Linked DNA regions of Struthio camelus. The protein of the gene in region 1 purifies or fractionates together with the protein of each later gene. This does not show direct contact. Links are inferred from orthologs where the notes say so. Each region holds a gene or a part of one and is shown in the gene's direction. Other genes may lie near its edges.

The links.
Region 2: the proteins of SNX9 (region 1) and DNM3 purify together in Homo sapiens (co-immunoprecipitation; 3 studies listed by BioGRID and IntAct, counting the BioPlex papers as one, with this or other methods). This does not show direct contact. The link is inferred for Struthio camelus from reciprocal best matches to the Homo sapiens genes SNX9 and DNM3.
Region 3: the proteins of SNX9 (region 1) and SYNJ1 purify together in Homo sapiens (co-immunoprecipitation; 3 studies listed by BioGRID and IntAct, counting the BioPlex papers as one, with this or other methods). This does not show direct contact. The link is inferred for Struthio camelus from reciprocal best matches to the Homo sapiens genes SNX9 and SYNJ1.

What each region holds. Positions count from the first base shown.
Region 1 is NC_090944.1:77,914,817-77,918,561, reverse strand, and holds the start of SNX9 (sorting nexin-9), read left to right. Parts: upstream 1-1,340; 5' UTR 1,341-1,514; coding exon 1,515-1,526; intron 1,527-3,745. UniProt on the Homo sapiens protein: Involved in endocytosis and intracellular vesicle trafficking, both during interphase and at the end of mitosis. Required for efficient progress through mitosis and cytokinesis. Required for normal formation of the cleavage furrow at the end of mitosis.
Region 2 is NC_090949.1:8,700,493-8,704,237, forward strand, and holds the start of DNM3 (dynamin-3), read left to right. Parts: upstream 1-1,437; 5' UTR 1,438-1,512; coding exon 1,513-1,658; intron 1,659-3,745. UniProt on the Homo sapiens protein: Microtubule-associated force-producing protein involved in producing microtubule bundles and able to bind and hydrolyze GTP. Most probably involved in vesicular trafficking processes, in particular endocytosis.
Region 3 is NC_090942.1:120,015,278-120,019,022, reverse strand, and holds the start of SYNJ1 (synaptojanin-1), read left to right. Parts: upstream 1-1,027; 5' UTR 1,028-1,145; intron 1,146-2,287; 5' UTR 2,288-2,359; coding exon 2,360-2,516; intron 2,517-3,745. UniProt on the Homo sapiens protein: Phosphatase that acts on various phosphoinositides, including phosphatidylinositol 4-phosphate, phosphatidylinositol (4,5)-bisphosphate and phosphatidylinositol (3,4,5)-trisphosphate. Has a role in clathrin-mediated endocytosis.

The sequences.
Region 1 (3,745 bases):
TCGCGGGTCACCTGCAAGTTTCACTTCAGATATTGCTGTTACAGAGAATAAAAAATTGGAACTGTCGCACGTATTTAACTGAATTCTGAAAAAGTTAAAAACTGAAATAATGGGGTTCCAAAACTTCTCGAATTAATCAGTTCAACCGTGTGAAAAGTAGTGGCTCCTAAACCGCCGGATTCATGTTAATTCCTCATCCTCAGTCTCCACAGAAAGTATTTCACTCATCCTACTTAAAACAAAACCTTTTTTCCAACTTAAAAAAAAGTGTGGATCTGTTTTTCGCTTTTGATAAAGTGGCCTCAGTGGGAAAGTACAGCAAGAGCAGGAGAGAGGTTTGTCGTTTCTGTGGACAAGGAAACATGGCTATACAAGAGTTACGCTACGTCTCAACGGCACACCTGCCTTTTAGGGATCTCTTTGGTGGTCTTAACAATTACGCTCTTTCTTTCTTTTTGCAGAAGTTAAACATCCACCGATCCAAATCAAACACCGCGCGGATACATACCCACAAGACAGCGTAGTCGCAGGCGGTGCTGCACGTACCTCCTCTGAGCGCTGCCGCTGGCTTCCCCCCCCCTTAGCCTCCCATCAGGAGGAATAAATCGAGTGGGACCACAGCTATTTCTTGCCACATGTTGGCGGAGCGTCTCATGGGACCCGCACGGATCCTGAGCAGTTTCTTGATGTTATTTTCTACTCTTAATAACCATCAGGCAGCAAGGCCCAGCTGCCGCAGGAGGCCGCGGATGAAGCGCATCTCCGACAGCCGCCGAGGGAGCTTGGCCGAGGAAAAATTATTCTTTATTTGATACACAGTTGTTCTGAAACCGGCGTTCAAAAGCGACCGAGGGACGACGACTTTCTGTTGACCCTCCTCCGCCCAGACAGCGAAAGGCGGGTGGATTTTCAGCGTCTGAAGCGGCATCTGACAGCGGACGCCGGGGCTAACAACGCCCTGAGGCAGCAGGCTGCCGCACAGGCGGGCGTTAAACCGCCACCCCCGCCGCGCCGGGGGGCGGGGGAGCGGGTCGGCCCGCTACTCGAGGCGGGAATTGGAAGGCAAACGCTGACTAGAAAGAGAAAACGCTGCGGGGCCCGCTACCCGCGGGTGCGTCCGTCCCTTCCTCCCTCCCCGCCTGGCTCGGGCCCTGGCGAGGAGGCCGCGGAGGAGCGGCGGCCGGGCGGTGCCAGCGGGAGCCGGGCGCGGCGGGGGCAGGGCGGCAGGGGGCTGCGGGGAGGGGGCACCGCCGCGCCGATACATTAGCCGCCGCCTGCCCAGCAGCCGGCGCTGCCTGCTGAGCCGCCCAACGGCCCCCAGGCGGCGGCGGTGACGGTGGTGGCGGTGACGACGACGACGGGGGGGGACGCTGAGGAGGAGCTGCCTGCGCGGCCCAGCGGGCGGGCGGGCCGGACACAGCGAGCGAGCAACCGCGGCGGGGAGGGGAGGGGAGGGGAGGAGAGAGCGGAGCGGCGGCCGGGCCGGGCCCGGATCGCACCGCACCGGCAGCGCCATGGCCACCAAGGTGAGCAGCCGGCGGCGCCCCCTGCGCCGAGCAGGCCCCGCGGAGGGGGCTCGGCGGGCGGTGACCCCCTGTGGGGGCGGCGGGAGGCACCGTGTGGGCCACGGCCGCGTTTCGGGGCCCGGAGGGAGGGAAGGAGCGGGGGGTGGGGTGGGGGGGCAGTGCCCTCGCCGCGGGGGCTGGCGGAGGTCCCGCTTCCCCGCCCGGGCCTCGGCCGCCGGGGCAGCGCCAACTCCGGCCAAGGGGGAAAAGTTGCCTTCGGCTGCGTTTCCGCCCGCTGCCCCCCGTCCCTCGGCGGGGCGGCGAGGCCGGCGGCGGCCTGGGAAGGGGCGAGGTGCGGGGCCGGCCTGGCCCTGGCCCTGGCGGCCTCGCACTGCGGGGCGGAGGGAGAGATGTGTAACCCGCCCCCCCTGCGGTGTTGTCGCGTACCTGCCCGACAAAATAAGGTTACCGAAGGGGAGGCCGTAAGTGGTGTTTCCGAGCGGCTGATAAAAAACCTGCTCGGTGGTCATCAGGCACAGGGGCGTGCTGTGGGTGGGTGTTTTTTTTTTTTCTTTCCCCCAGTGGGAGTCTCAAGTCTGTAGTTTGCGACTTGTTAATAATAGGGTCCATTAAAAAAAAAATTGCAGGAAGTGAAATTGTTTTGCTCTGTTCTTCAACAGTGTCTGTTGTTAATGTAGCTATCAAAATTAGTACATCCTATCCGAAACTGATCTCTTTCTAAATTAGCAATATTTATTTACTATATTAGTGGATGAAAGTGGTAAAACTGGCTTGCCTCTGCTTTGTGTAGGTGTGAGTTAACATCCACAAACAAATGTCATCTGTAAGTTGTCTAAATATTGCAGAAAGCTTTCTGGTATTTGAAGTAGTGCTTTCAGATTCGCCTGATTCAATAAACTTGGCCTGTAGTTTAAAAAACTTCCTTTAATAAAAACTGTTCTCGGGCACGACATCATTTATTCATACTGTATTTCTCAGTATTTGGGAAATCCGTATCTTAAATATATTGAACCTCATATATATGTAGCAGTCTCAGTAACCATTGAAGCAGATGGTTATTCATGCTCTAGTAACATTTTTTTTAGAAGCACAGAAGAAAGTGGTTTAGGCTTCAAAATCATTTAGACACTTCAAGAAGTATTAGTATAGTGAACTCTGTGTTCCTGTGTGCTCAGGTTTTAGAATATTGTTAACGGACTCAGTGTTAATATTGGCTGTTTCCACAGAGTTGTGGGGTGTGTGTATGAATAACATGTAAACACATGTAGCTATGGCAGGTAGTAAGAAAAGTTCAATTGCATACTATTATGCACATATATAGAAGTAATGCATATTATCTGCTAAGCATTTGGAATATGATACTGTTTATCATCTAATCTTGAGGACGTGCGGGACTGCTTATTCTGTGCCTAATTAATGAAGTCATTTTATTCATACATTTGGAAACTTGCACTTTGATTTTTCTTGAAATAAACTTTTGGAGTCGTGGCCTCAGAATGATGGGTATGTGAGTTCTGACTTGCTAGCAGTACTTTATTGAAATTAGGTGAGGAAGATGCAAGTATTTGGGTTTTTTTTTTATTCTACACTTTGCAAGTTATGGTAATTTACTTTAACTTGAAGGCTGATGTAAGGAAATGATAGTTAGCAAAGACTTTTTTATTTTGATATACTGATAACAGAGCAGAAGCTGACCTTATTTTCTGTAAGCTTGACCCATAAGGTATGTCACTCTCTGCTAATTATCCTATTCTGGATTTTAATTGGTTAAACTTTTTATAATGTCAGCTGTAAAAAAAAAAAAAAAAAAAAAAAAAAAAATTTTTCCTCCCCTCAACAGTGCAAGGGAGTGACTGACAATAAACAGTGTTTAGGAACTCGGCCAACTAACCAGTTACTATTTCACTCGAAAAATAAGATTTATTTTTTTTTAATTGTAAACAAACTTCCCACCTTCTACTTCCTCTCCTTCCAAAATAGTTTAGTTCTATAAGAAATACACAGTATGTTGGAGTTGCACATAGAACATTAACAAGGCTAAACTATGATTAGTCTCTTGGACTGTGAATTTCTCAAACTTCAGTGGCATTTGAACCTACACACCTGGCAGAGATATCTGGCAATCAGGTCTGCCTGTACTGTGCAGGCTATTAGTATTTCTTGAATTAATTCATGTTTTACCTAGAATATATTTCCAGAGGTGAGGAGGGGTTCAATCT
Region 2 (3,745 bases), on another chromosome or scaffold:
CTTTTGAAAGAAACTGTTGGGTGAAATACGCCACGAAAAGCAGGGAGCTGAAAATACACAGCCCTCTGCTTTCTCTTCACTGATCTCTTAGAGCTGTTTGAAAAATGACTTCTTTCTAATAACATGTGCATGCCTAATAAAAATATTCCCATCTTTCCTAGGAGGTGGGAAAGTTATGCCCTGGCTGTTCTTGGCCTTGCTTTTGGGAGAGCAGCTTTTCTTAAGTGATGCAGCAGTTGGGTGAGTGTGGCCACTTAGCAGCCTTAGCTCAGCTTGGACAGAAAAAATGTTTGGTTTGGAAATTGCACAGGTTTGGAGGAATAACTTAATCTTTTACTAATAGTAGATATTTTCTTTAAAAAAAAAAAACCCAAGAACTTAAAAAAAAAATCGTGGAAGCAAAGATGTAGTTTAAAAACCTAACGGAGAGGACTGCTCCTGGGGTTATTAATTGCAAGGTGCGCATAGCATCGCTCCCAAGGGTTCCTGCCTTTTTTTTTTTTTTTTTTAAGCGTTCACGCTCGTCTCTGGTGTAGATGCGGCCCTACAGCCAGGCTGCCCTTTTACTGATCTTAATTGTTTCAGCGAGGGCAGTACGAAGGGCTCCTCTGCTCAGACAGTGTGACGAGGATTTTGCCAGAGTGCAACGCTGTGATCCCTCAATCCCAGCCTCAGTAGAAACCCATTAGTCGGAAAGCAGCCAAAAAGCTACTCTAACACCTCCTGGCACAGCCAGCTCAGTCAGGAGTGTGGAAGGGGGGAAATTGTGCTGCTAATTGGCATAATTATGTCAATAACCCCCAGGCTCCACGTAGCTAGAAATGATGACAACGTGGTGTGTCCCAGCGAGGCGGTGAGAGCCGGAGCGCCCCGCTAAGCGCGCCGCGGGGCTGCTGCGTTCGCCCCCGCCGCCGCCACCGGTCTGCGCGACGGGATCGCCTGATCCCCCCGACGGGATCGCCTGATCCCCCCGACGGCTGGCGGCCGCCGTTCGCCGTGACGCAGAGGGCAGCCTCTGCAGAGCCTCTGCTCTGGGTGTTTTTGTGCCGTGACTGCGGCCGGTAATCACGGACACGTCTCGTCTCCGCTCTTTGCCTCTCCTTTCTGCTTGCTCCCGCTATGCGTTTCTAATTAAACTGACGGCAGCTCTTTCCCTGGGTGCAAACGGTCTCCGGCGGGAAACGGCACGTCCCCTAAGCCGGTGAGTGATCCCCCCCGAGGCTCTGTCTGCTCGTCCCCGTGTCCCCACCGGTGGGGGGGGGGGGTGCCCTTGGCCGGTGTCCGCCCCCCCGGGGGCCGCGGCGCTGCCTCTGCTGCGCGCTGCCGCCCGGGCCCGGGCCCGCGCCGCGCGGGGGGGGGCGTGGCCGCGCCGGGTGGGGGGCGTGGCCGGGTGGAGGGGCGTGGCGGCGGCCGGCAGAGGCCCCGCCTCCGGGCTGCGGGTGCGGCGCATGCGCAGTGCGCCGGCCGTTACCTGTCAGCTGCGGCGGCGGGGACGGCGGCGGCGGCGGCGGGATGGAGGGGCTCATCCCGCTCGTCAACCGGCTGCAGGACGCCTTCGCGGCGCTGGGCCAGAACTGCCTGCTGGACCTGCCGCAGATTGCGGTGGTGGGCGGGCAGAGCGCGGGCAAGAGCTCGGTGCTGGAGAACTGCGTCTCCAGGTGAGGCGGAGGGCGGCGGGTATCGGGACGCCCCCGCCTCCCCCAACGGCTACCCCCCCTCCCCCCAACGGCTGCCGGCCGCCCTAACGGTCCCCTCAGCGCGCGCCCCCGGCGGCGCTGCCCCCCCCCTCCCCCCAACCGCCCTGAGCCCGGGCGGCGGCGGCGCGGGGGCTGGAGCTGCGCGGGGTGAGGGGGGTTCCCGGCTCCGCCCGGACCGGGGATGCTCGGTGACAGCCGCTCCCCGCGGCGGGGGGGTTGGGGGGGGCGGGCACGGCGCTGCGGCGTCCTTGGGGGAGGATGCTGATGGCCGTGCTGCGGGAAAGCCAGCGCAACTTTCCCGTGAGCCGCTTCCTGTGTATAGTGGGGCGGTTAATCTGGGAAAAGCTGTTTTTAAAAAAAAACCAAAAAACAAAAAACAAACCGAACCTAACCGTGGCGGGGGTTCTGGGTTTTGTTGGTTAAGGCTTAATGGTTGCTTAATGTTGTTAATGCTTACGATTCATGTATTCCGTTTTATGCACGCACGGGCATAGCATCTTTCTTTACAATTGCCCTAAAAGGAGAGAGAAAGCCTGAAGATTCAGCTGGTCCAGTCAATGGATTGACTGTAGATCTCTTGACTGTAGATCTCTGAAGATCTCTTGAGATAAACATGAACTTAAGTGTCGCTTCATGAAGTTCTGCCGTATTTGCTATGAATTGTTGTTTGCAGGCTCTTAGAGACTGTGTTTTCAGAGCATAGCCACAATCGTTGGTCTGTATATGGGGTCAGAAGTACTATTCTGTCAGTGATTTGTGAACTTCCACGTGCCGGCGTCTTCATTAAAAATAAGATAAAGTGCTTTATCTCTAAAAATAAGATTAAGCGCATACGTCAAAGTGCAATACCTCTTGATACACAGTATAAAAAATATTCATATAGTTGTTGTTTCTATATCTCCGTTTCAGATTTTACTCTCACTGTGTTAAATTTCAGTTCTTCCTCTTCCCTCTGTGTGAAGGCTATAGCTAATTACTGATGTTGACAATATTGTGAGTCTCTGGAGTTTAGAAAGCACGAATGAAGTCCTCAGAAATCACTATTGGCCATCACGTTGTTAGACTTTTCTTTAAACAAGTCTTTACAATGTATTTTTGTCACCTTTGAGATCTTGATCTATCTGTCCGCAAAGCTCTGCAAAACCTATGTGCTGGGGAAAGGCAATCTTCACGCCTCTGGTGAAATAGATATGCGGTCTCTGCCTCGGAGACTTGTCTGGGGCAGCACCCGTCTGGGACCGGGTCTGAGGGTGGAAGGCTGTGGACGGATGTCTTTGTCTGGATGCAGCTGTGCTGCTGGAAGGGGTTAGTGCTCCCAGATGCTTGTTGCTCCGCTGCTAGAGGGTTCTGCTCCATCTGATCCGCAGGTGGAGCTGTTGCTTTGAGTGCGGCCCCCTCTCGTCTCCCCCGAGGTGAGCCAGGCTAGAGCAAAAGGTATAAATGGGAAGTCTACACTAGCTAACCCGACTCGTTTGGACAAAAGTGGGCTAGGGCCTGCTGCACAAGGGAGACAGACTTCTAGCAAGAATTATGAAGGAATGCTAGGGGCAATTATTTTTTTCACTTACATGGTTATTTACTCTGCACCTCACAGATACTACAAGAGAGTCCCTTCCCTGAAGATTTACACGCTAGTGTGAGGTACTACAGTGTTTTTGTGATGCAGGAGCTGGAATATGGATACGTGATTGTTCCGTGGAGTAACTTGTTGAGATACAATATCAATGGTACTTTCCTATTTGCCAGTTTGGAGCCTCTTACAAATAAGAGATTAAAATGCATTACTTTAAATCCATTTCCATGAAATTCAAGCAAATATATTTTACTCATGGCTTTACTCCAGGCAAAGTGAGTATGTGTGGTCAGCAGATGAGTGGTTACTTGCTAAGCTGTGAGAAGTTGATTGTGAACCAGATGAGCAAATATCCATGAGATGGGGAGGGCATTTTGGTCGTCAGATCAGCAGGCAAAGCAGTCTGCAGCTCTTCTTCCTATGCTGTAAGACGTTCCTGTTTTTACAGGTATTCAGGTGACACCTTTGATAATGA
Region 3 (3,745 bases), on another chromosome or scaffold:
TCAAGCCTGCTGTCATCTGCTCAGCAGCTTGTAACGTATCAACACAATATAGTGAAGCAGTACTCCTCCACTAAAAGGCTGCAGCGGCTGGATGGAAATTTCCAAAGAGATGTTTAACGTCTGTACCTAAAACTTTTGAAGCTTGTCAGAAAAATGCAGGCTTTAGCCATGGTTCAGTGTTCCTACCCTACCAACAGTGCTCGGAGAGCACTGGCACTGACACTTCTGTGCCCATGGCACATTTTGTGCAGGGAGGTTTTTCTGTTTGTGTCACTACTCATGAGCCTATCTGAAACATTTTTCTCTCTGCTGCATCTCTAATAAACACACAACAGAGTCTGGGGACTGATCGTGTTTCAAAGCAGCCTCACTATGACCCCACTGCATGCTCCGTTTTCAACTTTCATGTTGGCAATCCAGCATTGGCTTATGACCATGCAAAAGAAGAATTTCTCCGGAGGGCTCTCTAGTTCCTTTTTCCTAAGGAACTAGGTTTCTTCAGGCTGAACCACCACACTAGGCAGGGCTTGCCCGGCTGGCGCTGTGCTTGGTAATGCTCTGCACAGGTTTAGCCCGCCCCTGCTTTAGAGGGCACAGGGCCTTCGCAACGGATGTCACTCACAAGGACGCAGGTCTGACACAGGCTCCCTCCAGCTCCATACCGCTGCTCCCACCGTGGCGCCTCAAGCAGCAGCTCCCCGTGCTGGCAGGCCCGAGGCTGGGGGGTGCGAGGTGACACAGGAAAACACCGCAGTGACAACGGCCGCGCCCGGACCCGCTAGGCAACGAGGTAAGGACCGAGCAGCCAGCACCCCTCACCCTAACCTGCAGCCCGCCGGCGGCGGCTCCCTCACCGGCCAGCCCGGGCGCCTCAGCAAACCTTTCTTCCCCACACCTGCCTGCCTGCCTGCCCCGACGGCTGCCGCAACGGCCGCCGCGGCGGCGCTGCAACGGCCGCCCGCGAGGCTCGCGCCCCCCCGGCCCCGCCCCTCTCCACGCCCTCTGCCGCCTTCCGGCCGCGGGAGGCGCAGTGCGGAAGGGACGCGGCGGGGCCGGAGCGGAAGTGAGGTGCCGCCGGCTCCCCCGGCGCGGAGCGGAGCGGGCGGCCACAGCGGCGGCGGCAGCAGCAGCAGGTGGCGCGGCCGGTGAGGGGGGCGCGGACGGCAGCGCCGGGACGGGGGTGGCGGGGGAGGGGGCCGCGCCCGTGAGCCAACCGCGGAGCCGGCCCGGCTGCCGCCGCTGCGGAGCTGGGGCCGCCGGGGCGCCGGCGGCGGCAGACAAGATGGAGGCGGCTCTGTCAGCGCCGCGGGGGCCGGGGAGGGGCTGCGCGCACGGTGCCCGGCTCCGCTGGGACGATGGGGGGGGGCGGCGGCGGCTGGTGTCCTCGTCCCTGCTGCCCGCCAAGGGAAGGGCGGCGGGGCCCCGGGGCGGGGGAGGATGGAGAGGGGTCAGCAGCTTGTTCCGTGTTGGAGGCGCAAAGTCCGTGTGGCCGTCCGGCGCAGAGGTTACCGGCGCTGAGCTCAAGGGAAGGAACAGGGCAGGAAACGCGCTCCCGGCTTCCAGCAGAAGCCTCCCTTCGTCATCTCTTTGCTCAGCTTAAGCCCTTAAAATTTGGCTCCTTGTGTGTTTCCTTAGTAGCCTAAGCCCTTAAAAATCTGCCCCGTCCCTCTGTTCTTTATGGTTTCTTCTTTTTCCCTTTTTATTTTAGAGGAAGCTCTTACCTTTATGGCTTTTAGGCAGTTTCACTAGTACAATACTGCAATGTCTCATTCATTGGCCGCTGCAGGGGAGGGTTTCAAGCCAAACAAAACCCTGCTTTCATTAAAACAACACCAGCAGGCTAACGTTTCTGTTTGATCTTTTAAAACCTCTTAACAGCTTTCCCAATTAAACTTCGCTGTCCTTTTGTACAAGGTCAGCATCAGTAAAGTTGTTGCAAAATTTGAAGCCTGCCCAGGCTTCTGGTCCCCTTCGTTCAACATTTAGCATATGAGTAAGACAGTTGTTCTGTGTTTGTGGAGACTAGAGGAGAATCGTGTTTTCTGTTCTTCTAATAAATCATGTTTGTTAAATATCATGAAAGAAATTCAAGTTGTCTCAGAGAAGCTTTTAAATAAACCTTCTGGAGTTTATTTATATGTCGATAATCACGTTCTTGAAACATGGTTATGTTGTCTTTAATTATTCCTTATATACCCTTGGAATATGAGATTAAAAAAAAAAAGCCTCATGAGGTAAAAAGAATGAGCGTGACACCTTTTTTATGTTAAACCCATACATTTCTTAGGAAAGGATGGAAGTCAGACCTGCTTTGCAGAAGGTATCCGGAAGCACAAGAAGCTTTCACTAACATCATCTTATGTTGGACAGGACTGCCTCTGATAAAGGCAAAATGGCTTTCAGTAAAGGATACCGTGTCTATCACAAGCTGGATCCACCTCCATTCAGTGTGATAGTGGAAACCAGAAACAGAGAAGAATGTCTCATGTTTGAATCTGGAGCGGTGGCTGTACTCTGTAAGTTGATATGTTTTGATAGCTACAATGTAAAAAGTTGGCTGACTTGATATTTTGTAAGCTATGTGTTTTTTATGTATGGATTATAAACAAGGAACAGCTATTCTGTTTTCTTACTTGCTAATGGTGAGGCTTCTGCTTTAAATGAAATGACAATTTCTTCTCATCTGTTGAGAGAGAATTTTGCACTTTAAATTAGATTTCAACATGAACATTTTTTTCATGTATGCTAAATTTTCTTGTAATAAGTTACAACAACATCTGTTTGTGCCTTTGGTTCAGAACAACTTTATCTGAATACGTGATAGCTCGGTGAAAAGTGAATTCTATATGTTGTACCTCATAATAAAAAGTTCTATGTTCTTAAATGGTATATCATCATAATTTTTATCTCATTTTATGTGATGACATTTTGATGGCTTTTTGATTTTTAGCTTTATTTTGCCCAGTATTTTTTCCCATCATCAGACTTGTTGTATATTAGTTCATCCTGTAATGAAATGAGTATATATTTGGAGCAAGGTGTTCTGCATTGCCAAGTCATTTTTACGTGTTTTCAGTGATAACTGCTTTAAATATTTCTAATAAATTCTTTGGCTTTAAAATTTTTTTTAAATCAGATTTGTAGGAGGACACTAAAATGAGAAGTGCGGAAGAGAACTGTCAAATAGTTAAGGTCTTACAATGTAGTTTGGTTTATATTTTTCAGTAAGGAAAAACTTGATTGCAAAGGGGTTTCCAGGCTTGCATTTGCCTTTTATAGAAGGCTGAGGTACCGTGGATGGGTTTTTTTTTTTTTTTGGAATCAATAACTTTTTTGATGAAAATCAATTGTGATGCCTGTTCATGATTTTCTAGCCTAGCATGCTCAGAAAATGAGAGGCTTGATTCACTGCCTGAAATCTGAGGAGCTCAAAGACACACCTCTCAGGAAGGTGCTCTGGCCTTGAGACTATGGAGTGGGCCGAATGGGGAATGCAATCTTAACAAGGTCTAGCGCTATGCTGCAAAAAAAAAAAAAAAACAAAAAAAAACTAGGGTTCATTAGGCTGAAGGTAGAAAAGTCCCATGGTTAAGTATATGCCTGAGAAAGGTAAATCTCAGGGTTTAATTCCCACCCAATGACTGGATAAAACAGGAACATTTATTAGTGCATGTAAATGTAACAGTTCTGACAGCAGGGATTGATCATAGATTTCCCTATTTCATGTGTGAGTGCCTAACCTGCT